Oryzias latipes: one gene and its partners. The protein of the gene in region 1 interacts with the protein of each later gene in a biochemical or structural test. Links are inferred from orthologs where the notes say so. Each region holds a gene or a part of one and is shown on either strand. Other genes may lie near its edges.

The links.
Region 2: the proteins of anapc11 (region 1) and ube2s form a complex in vitro, tested with the Homo sapiens proteins (31 studies listed by BioGRID). The link is inferred for Oryzias latipes from reciprocal best matches to the Homo sapiens genes ANAPC11 and UBE2S.
Region 3: the proteins of anapc11 (region 1) and ube2c form a complex in vitro, tested with the Homo sapiens proteins (66 studies listed by BioGRID). The link is inferred for Oryzias latipes from reciprocal best matches to the Homo sapiens genes ANAPC11 and UBE2C.
Region 4: of the proteins of anapc11 (region 1) and pttg1, one has a biochemical effect on the other in vitro, tested with the Homo sapiens proteins (3 studies listed by BioGRID). The link is inferred for Oryzias latipes from reciprocal best matches to the Homo sapiens genes ANAPC11 and PTTG1.

The regions. Positions count from the first base shown.
Region 1 is NC_019859.2:4,486,146-4,490,264, reverse strand, and holds the start of anapc11 (anaphase-promoting complex subunit 11), read right to left. Parts: upstream 2,858-4,119; 5' UTR 2,593-2,857; coding exon 2,484-2,592; intron 220-2,483; coding exon 74-219; 3' UTR 1-73. UniProt on the Homo sapiens protein: Together with the cullin protein ANAPC2, constitutes the catalytic component of the anaphase promoting complex/cyclosome (APC/C), a cell cycle-regulated E3 ubiquitin ligase that controls progression through mitosis and the G1 phase of the cell cycle.
Region 2 is NC_019874.2:19,503,747-19,507,846, reverse strand, and holds the start of ube2s (ubiquitin-conjugating enzyme E2 S), read right to left. Parts: upstream 2,862-4,100; 5' UTR 2,663-2,861; coding exon 2,660-2,662; intron 1,735-2,659; coding exon 1,587-1,734; intron 504-1,586; coding exon 313-503; intron 233-312; coding exon 1-232. UniProt on the Homo sapiens protein: Accepts ubiquitin from the E1 complex and catalyzes its covalent attachment to other proteins. Catalyzes 'Lys-11'-linked polyubiquitination.
Region 3 is NC_019863.2:18,098,153-18,102,513, forward strand, and holds the start of ube2c (ubiquitin-conjugating enzyme E2 C), read left to right. Parts: upstream 1-1,546; 5' UTR 1,547-1,653; intron 1,654-2,147; 5' UTR 2,148-2,168; coding exon 2,169-2,275; intron 2,276-2,608; coding exon 2,609-2,636; intron 2,637-3,466; coding exon 3,467-3,553; intron 3,554-4,128; coding exon 4,129-4,333; intron 4,334-4,361. UniProt on the Homo sapiens protein: Accepts ubiquitin from the E1 complex and catalyzes its covalent attachment to other proteins. In vitro catalyzes 'Lys-11'- and 'Lys-48'-linked polyubiquitination.
Region 4 is NC_019868.2:9,721,784-9,725,988, reverse strand, and holds pttg1 (securin), read right to left. Parts: upstream 2,815-4,205; 5' UTR 2,752-2,814; exon of another isoform or gene 2,645-2,751; intron 1,997-2,644; 5' UTR 1,992-1,996; coding exon 1,904-1,991; intron 1,819-1,903; coding exon 1,685-1,818; intron 1,594-1,684; coding exon 1,512-1,593; intron 1,080-1,511; coding exon 924-1,079; intron 298-923; coding exon 212-297; 3' UTR 151-211; downstream 1-150. Other genes in the region: sept6 (septin-6), read left to right, coding at 3,331-3,360. UniProt on the Homo sapiens protein: Regulatory protein, which plays a central role in chromosome stability, in the p53/TP53 pathway, and DNA repair. Probably acts by blocking the action of key proteins.

The DNA of each region.
Region 1 (4,119 bases):
TCTGTTCTTGTCATTGTCCGCCCAGGTTTTGTGTCGGGAACAGTTATTTGTTGTTGTTCTGAACCGTGACACGTCACTCTTTGAACTTCCACTCCTGGCGACACATGGGACACTGCTGCTGCACCTGCTGGGAGTTCAGCCACTTCAGGATGCAGTGCATGTGGAAGCAGTGGGAGCACTGACCCCACACCAGCGGGCAGTCGTCTCCGGGAACCTTACCTGCAGATGAGGAGAAGCATGGCTTAACTCGAGCTGGGGTGTGCTGATGGACACGAAGTCAAAGTTATATGGGGCATGTTACATCACCAATTTATAAATAAGAATCCGAACTCCTGTAAGTGATGGTGTTGATCTCCACATCATGACCGACTGACTTCATCCTCAACAATAAACGTGTCATGAATCTGTTTATGGGAATCTCTTTTGATAAATGAATGTTTACAGCTGATTTTCTTAAGTCTGCAGATATTTACTGCAGATAAATACAATAAGATAAATATATTTTATCTTATTGTATTTATTTTATATGGACACATTACTGAACATATGTCCAGAGACTAAAAGATGTAATTATGTCCAATTTTAGCCATGATGCTATTTCACATCTGCTGTCCCTAAACAGGATGAAACGAGAACATTTGATTGATTAAATGATTGAATACAATAAAAACAACTACCAACACACATGTATATATCAAACCCATTTCAGATATAGTAATACATTGATTAGAAAATAAAGAATAAAATGAACAGTGATGACAAGACAATGCTGGCTGCTTTAGTCTAATTATTCATAATCAAAGAGACTTTTTCGCAGTAATGCATACAATACACACAAATCACATTTGATTCATTTAGTATAATGATAATTTAAAGTCATGCACAATTTGATTTGCTGCCTAAAGGTGAGCTCATTTATTTTATACAATCCCCCCCCCTAATGAATTGTTTCTTTTTATATATTTCTTTTGCATTGTTGCCATAATCCAGTTCTTATTGATGAGACAATAATTCACAAAAATAGCAAATCACAGTCATCTAGTTAAAATCAGGACTTTAATTACATCCATCCATCCATCTTTGATTGGGATGAAATACATCCCATCTGTAGCGAAGAGGCAATTTAATTAACTAATCAACTTCATTTATTAACCGACCCACCTAGAGGAAAACAGCATTTCTGCAGGTGGTCCTGTTATTTTCCCTTTAATTATGTATCATAACGGCTACATTGCATTGTACTTGTGACAATGGCAAACACAAGACTAAGTAGAATGTTCGCGCATGCGTAGTCACATCTCTGATTCTCAAATATTAGTTAAGTCGTAATATTTAATAAGGAGGGGCAGCTGTTAAACTATAACGAATTCCTATCACAGTATAATTTACCTATTACTTTACAAGAGTTTTCAATGGTGCAGAAGGCTATCCCCTCAGGAATAGTAATGTTATTTAAGAACACTGATAATTTGATACCTAATCAAAATACAATATCCAATGCGGATGAGTCACCGGTAGGAAAAATATGCTTCTCATATGGGCGTACTACTAATATAAAAATACGCAGATTATTTCAAAAGATTTATACCGCTCCCCCGTATATTTTAAATTATTGGAATCAATTTGTTCCAGATATCAACTGGAAAGCAGTCTGGACGATCCCTCATAAGTATTTAATAATAAATAAGGTAAAAGAAGTATCCTTTAAAATTCTCCATAAAATTTACCCTGCCAAACATTATATGATAAAATTTAAAAAAGATATTAATACTGATTGTAGTTTCTGTGGAGATCACCCAGAAACAGTAATTCATCTTTTCTGGCACTGTTTGTCCACACGGAGATTTTGGAAGGAGTTCAGTAGATTCATCATTATTCATGTCTTCAAAGATTTCTCCTTGAAATGGGAAAATGTATTACTTTGTTTTTTCAGGACCCCCAAAAAACAAAAGATATTTTTTATAATTAATTTATTAATTCTTCTGGCAAAATTCTACATACATAAATGTAAATTTACTAATAAAACACCATACTTCCCACAATTCATTAAAGATGTAACTTTTTACATAAAATCAATATCCTTTTCCTCCAACAAAAAAGCTCTCAGAACTATTGAAATTTGTAACTCTCTGCAAATATTTAATGAATCGACTCCCCTGGCTGTTTAACATTGTTTGTGTTGTATATTGATTGTATGTTGTATACTGCATTGATTGTTCTTTATGTTGTATACTTGCATTTGTTCAATAAAGTTATATAAAAAAAATTGTTAAGTCGTAAGTAGTTTGTTAGGTAATACAGACAGAGTAAATGTGAAATTACAAGGTTTTCTATCAAATACGGTTTTAAACGCCATTACGGCTCAATTGCCTTTATGCTACGAGGAAACATAAACATCACAAAGATTTCTTTAAACCGATGGTGGGATTTCTACTTCTTTCTTCACAGGAATTAAACATCTGCACGCGGGCGCGTTAACTCACAGTCTGGACAGCAGCCGTTGAAGGGCATCCTGCAGATGCCGCAGTTTTCATCGTTGGCCACCCACAACCAGGACGCAACTCCGTTCCACTGCTTGATCTTCACCTTCATCCTCAGCGAGAGACGGATCAGGGAAACCCACGGAGCTCAGCGGCAAACGGGACACGCAAGCTAGGCTAGCCTATGTCGACCCGGCGGAGCCTGAAGCGACCTGCTCTGTTTAACACTGCTCGCTTAACGAAGGAACAACAGTTGGGGTGTAATTTAAGTGTTTGACAATATTTTAAAAGGTACTGTTCGTTAGAACTAAGCCATGTAAAACAGTGTAAAACAACGCAAAAATATGCTGCCGTTCTTTCAAACAGCGGTGCAACTTTCTTCTTCCGGTGTCATCACATTTGGTTTATAACTGCGTTGGATTTTAAATGTCGCCCTCTATCGGTGACAAATGGTAAGAAACTGATCACTTCTTCTAATTCTTGCAAAAATAAAATAAAATAGGATAAACAATGGGGGGAAAAACGAATCTATTTAAAATTTAGATAATTTAAATGAGAATTTAAATGCATTAAAAACGTGGACCCTATTTGAAAATACAATATGAATAATTGGTGATGCCCTTTGTGCTCCCCTCCTTTTTAGTTTGTGTTTTAAATGGTAATGCTTTGTAATTTAGTTTTTCCTATTATTTATTTATTTTTTATTATTATTTTTTGCTGTGTTCCTTTGAGCCATTTGTTTAAATGTGTCTGATTCTCTTTTGTTAATAAACGCTAAATAACTTTAACTTTTAAGGGAAAAGCGATTTGTAGTAACTATAAGATAGAAAAGACACATAAGATCTAACAACACAGCTTCACAACCCAGACACAGTCACATAAAATAACTATGATGGCTTCAATTCAATTCTGACGAGACTGACAGTGAAACATCAAGGTGGCAAATAAACGTTTAAACAGATACGCACACTCCTTGCTTTTAAACAACAAATATTTTGAAAAAATTGAAATTAAGAAATCAAAATGTATACATGTGCAGAATCACTGGTGTTTCTGAAGTCTTTCCCAGCTTCTTCAGAACAAAGGCAAAGATTATAGTCTGCCAGTTAAATTCAGAGTCACCAATTAGTCCATGAGGCTTGTTTATGGACTATTTGAGGAAGCCAGAGTTCATTAAAAACCCACAAAACACCAGGAGAATTTGCAATTTAGGAAAGAACCAGAACTTTTTGGCCGTGTTGACAATTATTATTTTAATAATAATAAATATAATAAGAATTATTATTCTTATTATTATTACATTTATTACGGAATCAAGTTCCAAATGTCAACACCATAAAAACCAGAAGACTTGCATTGAGTATCATTTAAAAGCAAAAACAGCTCATTCTTCAAAATGTGAGGGCTTAGACATGAATTAGACATGGTACAAATAGAACCCCCCCCCCCCCCCCAAATGTAATTTGTGACAATAATAAAAATAATAAATTTAAATATTTGGAATTATTTAAATTTTCGAGGTTTTGTTATTCTATAATTATTTTATTTGATTTTTTTTCTATAATTATTTTAAGGAGTCATTTATATGTAATATAAATAACCATTGACCATCCCTGGATTTCAGTCTTACACACCTTGT
Region 2 (4,100 bases), on another chromosome or scaffold:
GACCTGCTGGTACACTGGGTCCTGCTCTCTTTGTAGGGTCGCCCGCGTGCTTTTTTGGCTGAGGGCCGTCATTCGGATCCTGAGGTGCCCCCGACGTACCGCCCATAGCGTGGATTTCTGTGAGGAGGCGGGCTCGGGACTCGTACTCTGCATAGTCCTCCAACAACAAGCGCCCGGCCTCCTCGTTCAGAGCCGACTCCGGGTTTGGATGGATTAGAAGACACTTGATGGTCTGCCGTCACAAAGAGAAAATCGTTGACGGACCACATACATCACACTCAGGGGAAAGATAGCCGATGGTGGAACTCTTACAAGTAAGATGTGTCTGAGCCCGAGCTCTGCCTTCCAGTCCCTCTTCAGCACATTCACACAGATTTCTCCTTTGTGGCCGACGTTGGGATGAAAAATCTTGGTCAAGAAATACCCCTTGGGTGGAACAGCAGGGAAGTCCTTCCCGAGGACCAGACGCATTCGGAAAATGCCACCAGCAAATGGAGTTCCCTCTGTCAAAGTATAAAGAATTCATAGCATGAACAGTATGTCTTAACTGCGGATACACAGACTGAATTTTTTTCAAGCTGAATCAAATCTCTAACTTTGAAATCATAGACGTGCTAAACATCAAAATTCTTTAAAATGACAGGCTTTTGCACATCAGTCCTTGATAAATCTGCACTATTTTTGCAATTGAGCACGGCTAAACATGCCAAAGAACTGGAACCGTTCTTCATCCACGTCTGCTCAGCTCTAAAGGAGAACAAAATAAAAAAGCTAAATGGTTACGTTTTGAAGCTGGATTATGCTTAAAATATGCCCAGCATATTAAGACGCACTTCCTCTCTCACAAAATACAAACAATTCACAAACATCCTTGCCTCACTGTCTTCACGGTTTACTTTGGATAGCTGAACTCTTACAATAGCACACAGCTCTTTTAAATAAAAAAATAACAAGAATAACCCAAAGGGTTCATACAACTTTGGATTTTATAGTTATTATTTGTGGTTACCTTCACGAAGTAATGTGTAGCCTCAGCCTCAAGATGGCAATCATGCGCTAAACTGTTTGGCATTTAAAAACGGATTTTGAATTATATATTTCTTCTAATGCATGAACTGAACTGCATGCCAATATTATGGGGATAAACCTTTAACAATAGCAACAATTTTTAAAAATTGTTCAAAAAAGCTGTGAGTTATAGCTCTTTGTTTAAACGATTACAATCTTTATTTGGAATGTTGAATTTTTGAAACTCCTACGACTTGCATCGTTATCACTTTTTAAGAATTTCCATTCAACATAAGCTTAAAAGCCCCTGATAAAAATAGATGCATCAACAATGCAATCCGTCCAATTTAAATCAGTTCTTCCTTCAGAAATGAGCTATATCTATCCACAAGTCCAAGAAAAAGATGGCAAAAGGCTCATTTCAAAATGAAATCTATAATTAAATGCAGAATGTGCAGTACAAGACATGACATTTTTAATAACGTAAAATGCTGTAGTCCTTTCCTATTTTAGGAAATACTGCCTAAAAATGGCAAATCTAGTTTAAGCTTTCCATGGAGCCTCACTAAAATCCTTACCTGGTCCTTCAATGGATGTGTGGAGTTCAGTTATGTCTTCCTCACTAGGATAAATCTTTATACCTTCAGGTGGATCTGCTGCTAAAGCTGATACCTCTTTGTAGACCAAGCGCAGAACATGAGGGGGCAAATTCTCAACATTTGAGTTCTATGGGAAAACAGAACAGGGCACATAAATGGGCATTTAAATGTGTAAAAAGCTTTGGAAATGAAACCGATTTGATAACGAGAGAAAAATACAAAGAAATCACTAAAAATATAACTTAAAATTAAACAAGATACAAAGAATTTTCATCAATCTCGTTTAGTCTGATTCTTCAATAAAATATAAAGATAATAAAATGAGATAATTTAGAAAAGATAAATCCAAGCAAGCCATTGTCGGAAAATATAAATTGCTGACCACATGAGAATGTACTTAAGGATGTCACATCTGCAACACCTAAGAAGCAGCAATAAAAATGCACTTCTATTTAAACTGCACGTTCAATTGATAAAAAAAATCCTGCATTATATAAAAGTTATCATTTATTTATGTTGATTTAATACAGCTGGATGCTACTGTGCCATTTATGCTAGATTTTCAGTTAGAAATTTGCATTGCTGGGGGTCAGGAGGATATTCAAACGAATGCTATGCTGCTAGAACAAAAATACAACATTGAGTTTCAAAGTTTTTGTCGCCAAGCTTAAAGAAAAGAAGAAAAAAAGTTTTACTGTAGGTAATATAAAGGCACATTAAATCAAGGTACGATCGTATCATGACTGATAAAATATAAAATTGCAACTCTTACTAATTATTATACAGAAATAAGGAGATAACTTTACGTTAACGGTTAGCAAGAGGTAATGCCTCGAACTTAGCGTTGATTAAAGGCTGTAAAAACGCGATCATTACGCTAAAAGTACTCCGTACTATTTTTAAAATCATGTTTTGGTTCCGCGAATAAAAAACAACTTTTAAAAAAGAAAGAAAATCAACCACAACCAGGGTGTTTTTGACGATCTAACACCGGAGCAAGCTAGCAAAAACTCCCCTTAGCTGTTAGCAATACGCTCGGTCATCTGTCTTACCATCTTCGAAAATGAGATCTTTTTGGTGAATGGTTGTTTACTGGAATGGGATAAAACGAAGCTTTTTCTGCTACTATTTGAGAAAAAGTATTTTGTAGAAACTTAATCACAAAAAAAACCCTGATTACTGTCCTTTTCGCTTTAACGTTGACACAGGAACAAAAATACGATCCTCGATTTAACCTGCTGATATTAACCAATAGCCGTCTTAGCAAGTTGACGCGTATGAAGTTCCTAACCAATCACAATCTAGATTTTCTATTACGTCATGATAGAAAAAATATATAAGCCAATCAGAGTGTAAAGAGAGCTGATGCTGGTGAGCCATAGGCCCGTTTGAAAAACTCAAACTACCGATCGATACTGACAGGAAATAAACCACAATCAAGAATATCGGGTATATTAGATTAGCTAATATAATTCAATCAATAGCAGTGAGCATTTTTATAACGTGAAAAATACATTTAAAACAAATATTCCTAATTATATTTTAATATAATTGTTTAAGCAAATAAGTGAGCTGTATTTCTGAAGCACCTTTTTATGCATTTTCTAAACACTCCCTGTGGCGGTTGTTGGAGTCTATTCTAACTACCCCCAGGTGTGGTACACCCTGGACTGTCTGAGCCACACAACCACATACACTCACATTCATTACTTTTAACCTTTCCTAAACAAATGCATGTTAGCTTTTTTATAAAAGGACACAACAGAGTCAATCAGGGACACTGACAGGATAAGGGCATTCAATAAACATGGTGCCTCAACCTGAGGACAGCTTTCCTGGTTTTGGAGCAGGATTTTGGACTAACAAAAAAAATTGTAGGCCAATAATAATATTAAATGACTGTCCATCATACAAATACCAATAATTTAGTGGTGTGTCCTAAATATCTATGAACATAAAAACAAACCCCGCAACTATCAGACAATAGAACGCTATTTTAGCATTGCTGTGATCTAATGCTTGTTTTTGCACAATTTGATTTTGAAACATTGTACTCAAAACTGGCTTATGTTCTGTGAGAAATCTTTAAAAAATGTTATGCAGGTCTTTGTACATCTCAAAGTTTCCTGTGCATTTATGAAGGAAGAAACAGCGCCAAATGCAAAATAGCACACAAACAGATAACCCAATAGTGTCCTCAGGACCTCTTGTGCAAAAATCAAACATATAACTGGGAATGGTAACCAATTTGGACACAACATTGATAGAGACAATGTAGATAAAACAGGGTTTTTTTTTAATCTCAAAAGGAAGGTAGGAGAGGATAAGAAGGTCTTTTTATTACCATTCTACAAAGCTCAACAGAAATCACTGTAAATGAGACAACAGACATAACTTTAAAAAAAATCAGAACATGATACACTAACATTCAACAATTTTGACAAAGAACAACTTCAGTTCTAAATTCAACACATAACATACATTAAAAGATTT
Region 3 (4,361 bases), on another chromosome or scaffold:
CAGCTTTAAAGTATGTGATGTGAAATTTTAAAAAAATTGTATTTTAGTTGAAAGCCTAAGGGAGCTGCATTGTAGAGCAGTGGCCGTACAGCAAGATGGCCCTGGTTCAAATCCTGCCTGGGGTCAATTTAGGTGGGGTTTGTTCTCTTTATAAATGCATGGGTTTTCTCCAGGCACTCTGGCTTCCTCCCACAGTCTAAAAACATGCTTTGTAGGTCAATTGATTACCAGTATTTTAAATTGTCCCTTAGGTGTGCATGCGAGTGTATGGCTCTACAACAGAATGGGGACCTGTTCAGGGTGTACCCCACCTTTGCCCAATTGTTGCTGGATTGGCTCCAGCAGCCCTGTGACCACGAAAAGGATTCAGTTAGTACAGGAGATAAATGGATAAATGGATCAAAGCCTGAGGGATATGGCTCTAAAATAGCATAATGTAGTCCATGTTAACAGGTAACTGATTGGTCGTTGGCCATATTTCTCTCTACAATACAAGGAAATGATTTGCAGATGAACAATCATATATTTTGTGCGCAGAAACAGCTGCTTCTCAGAGAAAAGCTGTCGCCTAAATGAAGCTGTTACTGAAGCATCTTTCAAATGTCATGTTCAGTTCATGTATCAGTAATGAACTTATTTTCCCAGTTTGGCACCTTCTGTTCTGGTGATCTTAATTATGTTTTGATCACTACGCTTTCTTTTTTTTACTTATGGTGAATTTCTCCTTAGATACAATTGTGCTCATCATGGACGGTTCTGCCATCAGCTGCACGTGGTGGCTACAGATGAAGATGGAGAATAGAGCTGCAGACATGCTGAGGAGGAGGAACGAGGCTTATCCTAGTCCGACTAATGGAGTTACACGAGTGAATTTATGTTTTAGTAATATTAGAAAATGTTCACATCTTTATCATATGTTCATGAGGTTTTTACTGAGTAAAAAGCAAATAATTTATTGGACGAGAGTGCTAAAGCATTCTAGTTTTAAATGTGAATCTCAAATTGGCTCACAGCAGTGTACAGATCTGAGAACAAAATTGGATTCTGTCAGCGGACATAAGTTCTGAATTAGGCCTAAGGGAAGGAAATTTAATATTTTTCATATAACAATATCTGATTTTAACTGGTTTTTGAAAGGAAATAACCGACTAATGCAAAATTCCTTCAGTCATATGACTTAGTATTAAAAGGAACTAATTAGTTTCATGGAAAATGTATAACTAAGGAAATTGGGCAACATTTCTAGTTCTTCCTGAATAAAGACACAAAATCATTGAAAATATATAAATTTGGATTGTTGCACAAGATTAGACATTTCAAATCAAAACGTGTTTTGTTTTTGTTTGTTTGTTTAAATTCCCATTTCAAAACTCATTTTCGTTTCGTTTGAAATTCTCTCTTCTCTTGACGTAAACACTAAACGTCGTACTCAGGGTGTTAATTTCCGGTATATTTCGAACCAATTACAACACGCCTCCTAAAGCATACTCACTCGTGATTGGTTGGCATTTTTCTGTTTGCTTTTGAAAGGCGGACACCGATTGGCTGATGCAATTTAAAAACTCGGGGCGGGTTAGGCTTCCATTAACAGATAGTGAGCGATATCAAAGCTGTTCGGATCTACTCAAATTGGATCTACAGTAAGCCTCGCAGGTAAACAGAACTTCTAGATGTATGTGGAATGTTTATTATTTCCGGGTAATAGTTTTCACGAGTGTAGTCGGTGTACACGGGCTGCAGGGATCGGTGTCACGGCGACAGAAACACTAGGAAAGCCACAGAAACGAGCTGTCCGCGCGGCTGAGAGGCCTCCGTGTTCGCAGCTGCGTTAAATGACCACCTCTGCGCCAACAGCCAAAGCAGAAGCGCAATCCGTTTATGCTGAAGCTTCACGTTCTTCCTCAGAGACACTATGGACCTTATGTCAGCATCTGAAGAACCTCCTCTTCAGCCTGAGCTCCTTTTGAAGAAGCTCCTATTGCCTCTTCTAAAAATAGCCATATTCATCCATAATAGTTGTTTTGGTTCGATGATCAGTCTCCATCAGAGCTCTCATGATGATGGTATCACCATCAGACCAGAAGGTTCCTCATCCTGTTTGTGTCATTGTGTGTGAAGTGGACTGACCTGTTGGTACATGTGTCCAGGAGAGCCCATCATTGGCACACATGGCCTCCCAGAACATGGACCCTGCAGCAGCTGGAGCCTCTGCAGCAGCTGCTCTGAAGGGCAACGAGAGCGAGAACAACATGACCAAAGGCTCGGTGTCCAAGCGGTGAGTGTCAACCGTCATCTGAACGTGAAAATAAACCAGACTAACAAGATCAAGAATGAGCCTGGACTTGAAAAGTTGTTTCTGTCTAAATGGAGATCCAGCAGCTGATGCAATCACAGATCAGTCAGCTTTGGTTTTCCCTGAATGATTCAGTCAAATGCTGATTAATTTAGCGGTTACTCTTTTGCATTGGCCTCTCAGTTTGGTGGTTTTAGTGCTGGTCAAGTTGAAGGTCCACAACGCCACATTTCCTGGCCCACATCAGAGCAGTCCGCTTATCGGCTGTACTATTTCTGATTTCTGAGGAGCTCTGCTTCTGTTGTGTGTTTGCAGGTTGCAGCAGGAGCTGATGACTCTCATGGTGAGTTCAACTTTTTATTTATAAATAGACTTTTATCACTGTTGATTTCAATTTTTTTTAAATCCTATTGTCTGAAATAATAAAAGGATATGCAAAGCTGTTAATTTCAGGGATAGATATTTTTTTTTACACAGATTGATGTTTTTCTTAGAATTTATGGCAAAGAAAACCCCTCTATACATTCACACATTTTGGGACTAATTTAGGAGTTTTGATTAATTATTTAAATAACAAAACAAACATATTTTGATGCATTGCACTCTGTGGCCCTCCCTTTCTGTAGCTGGGTAGCTCAATTTGGTTCGGTTCAGAATTTCATAGGGCCCGTTTTGATCTGTTTTCTGTATTTTTTTTCGGTACAAAAAAGGCAGAAAAAAATTTCTTGCAAAATGCATTTATTGGTTTTATATAACAATAATAAAACTAACCTATGTAGGTGATATGCTACATAAAATAATACAACTATTAACTGCCACTTCGTGTAACCATAAAATGCAAACAAAAATAAACAAACCGAAACGGTAAAAAAGTGGTCCAGACTGAAATTACCGAAACGGTTCAGTCCAACTACGTCTACCGTTACACCCTTACTAGTTTGGCAGTGTGTCTTATCCATAATGGAAACAAAAGTGATGATGAAGCCTTCTGAGACTATTTAAAGGGATAAAATAAATTCATAATCTAAAGCATTCACAAAGAACAATACTTGAAGTCCAACCGAGGCACTGAATCAGTTTGAATCCCTTTACGGTAACTAAAGTCCAGGAAAACGGCAGGGTGAGCGCTCATTTTTTGCAGCTTTTAGTGTAACTTTTGCTCCTTTGCTGCAGATGTCGGGGGATAAAGGCATTTCAGCGTTTCCAGAGTCGGATAACCTCTTCAAATGGGTTGGAACCATTGATGGAGCGCAGGGGACGGTACGTATGGGCGCATACGCTCGTGCCACTGGCTGTCTGTATTCCTCAACTACTAAAAAAAACTGCATAGTGTGGCTGTGGCACCATGTAGTGCCCTGGACCCGTAAAAGAAATTTGGTCTCTATACTCACTTTCTTTTTTTTTTAATGGCAAATATGAAATCACACATTTCCCGAAGTAAAAATGTAATAAATATGGACATTTTACAAAGACTATAAGACTATTAACGACAAGTTTATTTAAAACATTACTTCAAATACATGAAAAATTGTTCAAACACAATACATTGTGGTCTATATTCGCTAGTCTAGTGAGCATTGATGCACAGTGGTTTTTCTTAGACTTATGAGAAATTTTTCGAGCACCAGATTTAAGAATTGTAGAATCGCACAGCTCTACAGAATGGGGATGGCGCTATATAGTCCATCGTGTAGTGAATAGTGAAGCAATCCAGACACAACTGTTGGTGAGGAGAGAGGGGTGCTGCACAATTTGATTGTCACCACATTTGAGGTGACGTGAGGAGATGAGAGCTGCACATTATGCATGAATGTGTGATCCGGTTCTCCTGTCAGGTGTACGAGGGCCTCCGGTACCGGCTGTCCTTCGACTTTCCTGCAGGCTACCCCTACCAGGCTCCTCGTGTGAGATTTGTCACGCCTTGTTTCCACCCCAACGTGGACGATCAGGGTTTCATCTGTCTGGACATCCTGAAAGACAAGTGGTCGGCCTTGTACGATGTGCGCTCCATTCTGCTGTCCATACAGAGCCTGCTTGGAGGTAATCCATGGAGCTGTCTGTTCTCTCC
Region 4 (4,205 bases), on another chromosome or scaffold:
AAAAGTTCATTCTAATGAAGCAGATCCTCTTCAGAAGACTCCCAACACGTGACCACAGCTGGAGTTTAAAGCAGGAAGTAGTTCAGGTTCACTCCCCTGACACTTTTGCAGCCATTCCATCACACACACACACACACTCTGGACCACAGATGTTGCCAAGAAAACTTTATTTCAACACAAATAATAAAAACAGCCATTTAACAAACAGGCATCAGCAGTCAGTAAGCGGTTCTGGGGGGAATTCAACAGTCAGCTCTTCAAGGGTTTGTAGGAAGGCATCCAGCTCCAAGCTGTGATCTAAAAAGGAAAATGAAGAGGAGTTTATGAAGGCTTTCCTGCCAACAGGCACACTTTCCAACAATAACAGCCATAACAAGTGGCATTTGTTGGAAGTCACATGATTCAGTTAATGAGTAACCTACAGGTCTGATCATAGTTTGAACTGTTCAACACTAAAAGGATTAACAGGTAACAGGGAACAGCATTGTAGTTTAGGGGGAAAGCTTTCCTATTACGTTACAGTTTGGGATCATTCGACAAGAATCCAGTCTGTGTTTCCCCAAGGGCACTGAGGAGCCAAACAGGTTCTTTGCAACAGAGCTGAGTAAATGAAAATTCAAACTAGTTTATTTTGTATCCCCAAAAGAAAAGAGAAAAAAAACGAACATGTTGACTCCAAAGTTACTAGATCTGTGTACAAATGGTTTGAAGTTTTTTGTTTTAACAGTAAAGCAAACCTCAAAGTTAAAATATTTTCTGTCTAATTTTGAAAAACATGACACGATTACTTTTTCCTAGTATTTATTACTTATTTAAAGCACCATGTGGCGTTCTGTTGCATTTCCCTTTGTTGCAACAGAGTGATTTCCTCTGTAAGCTCCTGAAAATAGGAGATTTATCAGACGTATAAAGGAGAACCATACCTGGAAATCTGCACCCTTTTGCAGGTGAAGGGTCTGGGAGAGGCTGAATCTTTTCCAGGTCTTCCTCAAGAAGAGGCGAGGTAAAACAGGCCAATCCGGGTAGAGCCAGGCCACTGAAAGGAATGAAGTCCTCGGGTATGCTGTACTTCTCAAACTCTGAAAATATGAAGAAACTCAGGAATGGGTGAAAAATTTCCCAGACTGTGAATAAGCCCCTTTAAAACCAAAGAAGTCAGAAAAGACACAGCCACACATGGGAGCCGTTTAACACAGTGGACACTACCACAAGGCCACTGAGCCACTTCCAATTCTTTCACATCATTACATTTTGTTGCTTTTACTTGAACAACCACCACTCATGAGCAGAAAGACGCTGTGCCCGTTGATTATGCTCAGTGATAAGAGTGGATATTGTAAACATGGTGGCTATGAAATGATGTGACATTAGCAGTAAAGACTTTCAGATGGCATACAGCTGCAGCACGACCAGCGGAAATGTGGAACTACTAAACATCTTGGTTTAAAAAAAAAAAAAAAAAACCTCTTAAAAGCATAATTTGCCTGCAAACCAAACAAACATGACATTACCTAGAGGGTTGTAAGGAATAAAATTTTCCATTTTTGGGTATTCCTCCCCTTTGGCTTCAGAAGGATGCTCGACCTTGACTTCCTATTGAGAAGAAGGGCAATATGGACACACAGAAACAACAGAATAGCCTTTTGCTGAAATAAATCCATTTGTCATTAGTGTTTATTTTTACCTGTGGTTTTAAAACTTTTTTCTCTTGTGTACTCAAAGAAGGGGTTAAGATCTTTTTGTTCACCACCCCAAAAGCCTTACGCGCTGAATGGACAGGGGTATTTTTGACCAACATTGGAGACTTCAACTGTTTTTCTGGTTATAGAGAGCGAGAATAAAAAGGAGGATCATGCAGAGTTCCACAAAGATAATCTGAAACAGTTGAACATGTTTTTAATACCTGGAGCAGACAGAAGCCTCTGACGCATTTTCAGGGAAGAGGGACGGAGGCAAACATTCTCCTGTTCGGTGAAGATGACATTTGCCATCTTGGCTAAAAGGTAAAAAAAGAAAAACATTTGGTTTCAAAAAACTTTCAATTACTTTAAATGGGGTTTTATATACACAAATTCATAAAAATATAACTTAATTTATTGAAAGAAAAGGGGGAAAAAAAAGGTGCACTTTGAAATTCATAAGTAGACTAACAGAGTTGGCTATTCTCATTTTGTTTCCCCACAATTCAGGCATTTTGAGGTTCAATTACGGATTTATTTATTTTTTTTTTACATCAAAAAGGCTTTCTGCTAATTGGTGCTGATGTTTAGCATTAAGAAGAAGATTATGTATTGTCAGGCCCAAAACTAAACTAAGCTAAAGTAGACATTTTGTTTTCATCTAACAACTATGCAATTATTTACAAAATAATGGATACATTTCCCATTTGGAAAATGATTAAGTTCAGAATAATTTAGTTCAGACAACAAATATTTATTTACATTTACTGACAATAATGTAAACAGCAGAGATTTGTCCAATGCTACATTATTGTTAGCGGTTAACTTTGTTTGTCATGCAACGTTACGTACGGTTTAAAAATTATCGTTAGCAGTTTGTCGTGCAACGTACGGTTTAAAAAAAATTGCCCATTTACGTAAAATCTTGGAATGATAAACCAACGGTTACTTTCACGTCTATTTACCTTAGTGTTAGTAACCTCAAAGAACAATAGTTCTTGGTCTCAATCCGAAGGCTTTATCGTCTTTATCCTGCTTTTTGTTTTTTATCTAGCTACAACAGCTTCCGCACCTTTGTTTTTAAATCCGTTCACTTCATTCCATTGGTCGTTGTAGCCCTCGTGACTGTCGTTGGGCAGTGATTATGATTGGTCGTTGTACCCCACGTGACTGGCATGAATTAATTTCACCCGTGTCTCATTTCAAAGCGTTGTATGAACAGAATTGGGCATATTATCGAAAAAAAATAATCATTTAGTCAATACCAAACTAACAAAAATTGCCCATATTCATAAACTGGATAATTATTCATGCTAATTATTCCCCTTTTATTTTATTTTTTTATTGCTTGCTGACTTCCATTTACTAGCGTTCTATCGGACGAAACCATGTCTGCACCATCTTTCTTTATCTTATGTGTTTATTTTTCTATAAATAAATCCGTCTTAAAGATAAACTGCAGTTATATGTCTTTTTTTCCCTAGTACCTATTGTTGTAATCAAGACGCAAAAGCAAAGCTACGTGTTCTCTACATGATTAACTCCGTAGATTCAATGGTACATTCCAAACAGGCCATCTTTCTGAGGAACGTTAACTGTTCAGCAGGGCTGCTGAAAGAGGACAGTTGAGGGAGAGCTAACAGAAAGCATCATGGCTTCGACCGAGATAGCAAGGCAAGCTGTAAGTCTTCTGTTTTACTTTTAAACGCATCCATCAGCCTAAATATGAATTAGTTTTACGTTTAATGTGCGTCAAGGATATGTTAGATGGAATTAGGTGTTAATAAGGAACTCCCCGCATTTTTTGTGCCTTTCAGAAATTCGCGGCATCATAGCTAAACCAGTGTAATGTCACTGTATTGACCAAAACACCCCAAATATGCTTTGGATATTCATTTAGAGCTGTGCCTTTGTAAAATTGTAGATAGGAGTACCTGGTCTTAGCTTTTGTATTGTATTCTTAATCGAGAACAACGCCTTTATCTCCATGCTGGTTACAGCTAGCTTAATTATCTCATTAACGAAACTGCGCCTGGTAGAATTATTAGTTTTTCATTGCCGTCGTAACAAAAATGTCGTATATTTAAAAGGTTTAATCAATACAAATCCCCCCGTAGGCCATTCATTCTGAACGCCCCCATTTCAGCTCAGCTTCAGTGTTCATTTCCGTTCTGTTCTGTCATGTAAATCCCGTTAACTTTCAACGGGCGTTGTCTAAAAGTAAACAATATTTCTTGGTTACTATTACTTAGTAGTAATGCATATAAACAAGCGGTTTTAAAGCTATGCTAGGACAAAGTGTGCTGCTCTTTTTTTTAAGGGAGAAAGGAAACCACTTAGTCCAGAGGGAGTGCTTAGAATAGCAAGGTTGTCCAGTTTTATATCCCTTTGTGGCTCCAATGAATGAAGCAGATTATGTTGAGAGAAGATGCCTGCGATTTATAAAGTGTTTAGTCTCTCATTTCCTTCACACCTTCAGCTATTTGACCCCAATTCAGCCCCTTTAAAACAATCTGCCGCTTCCAA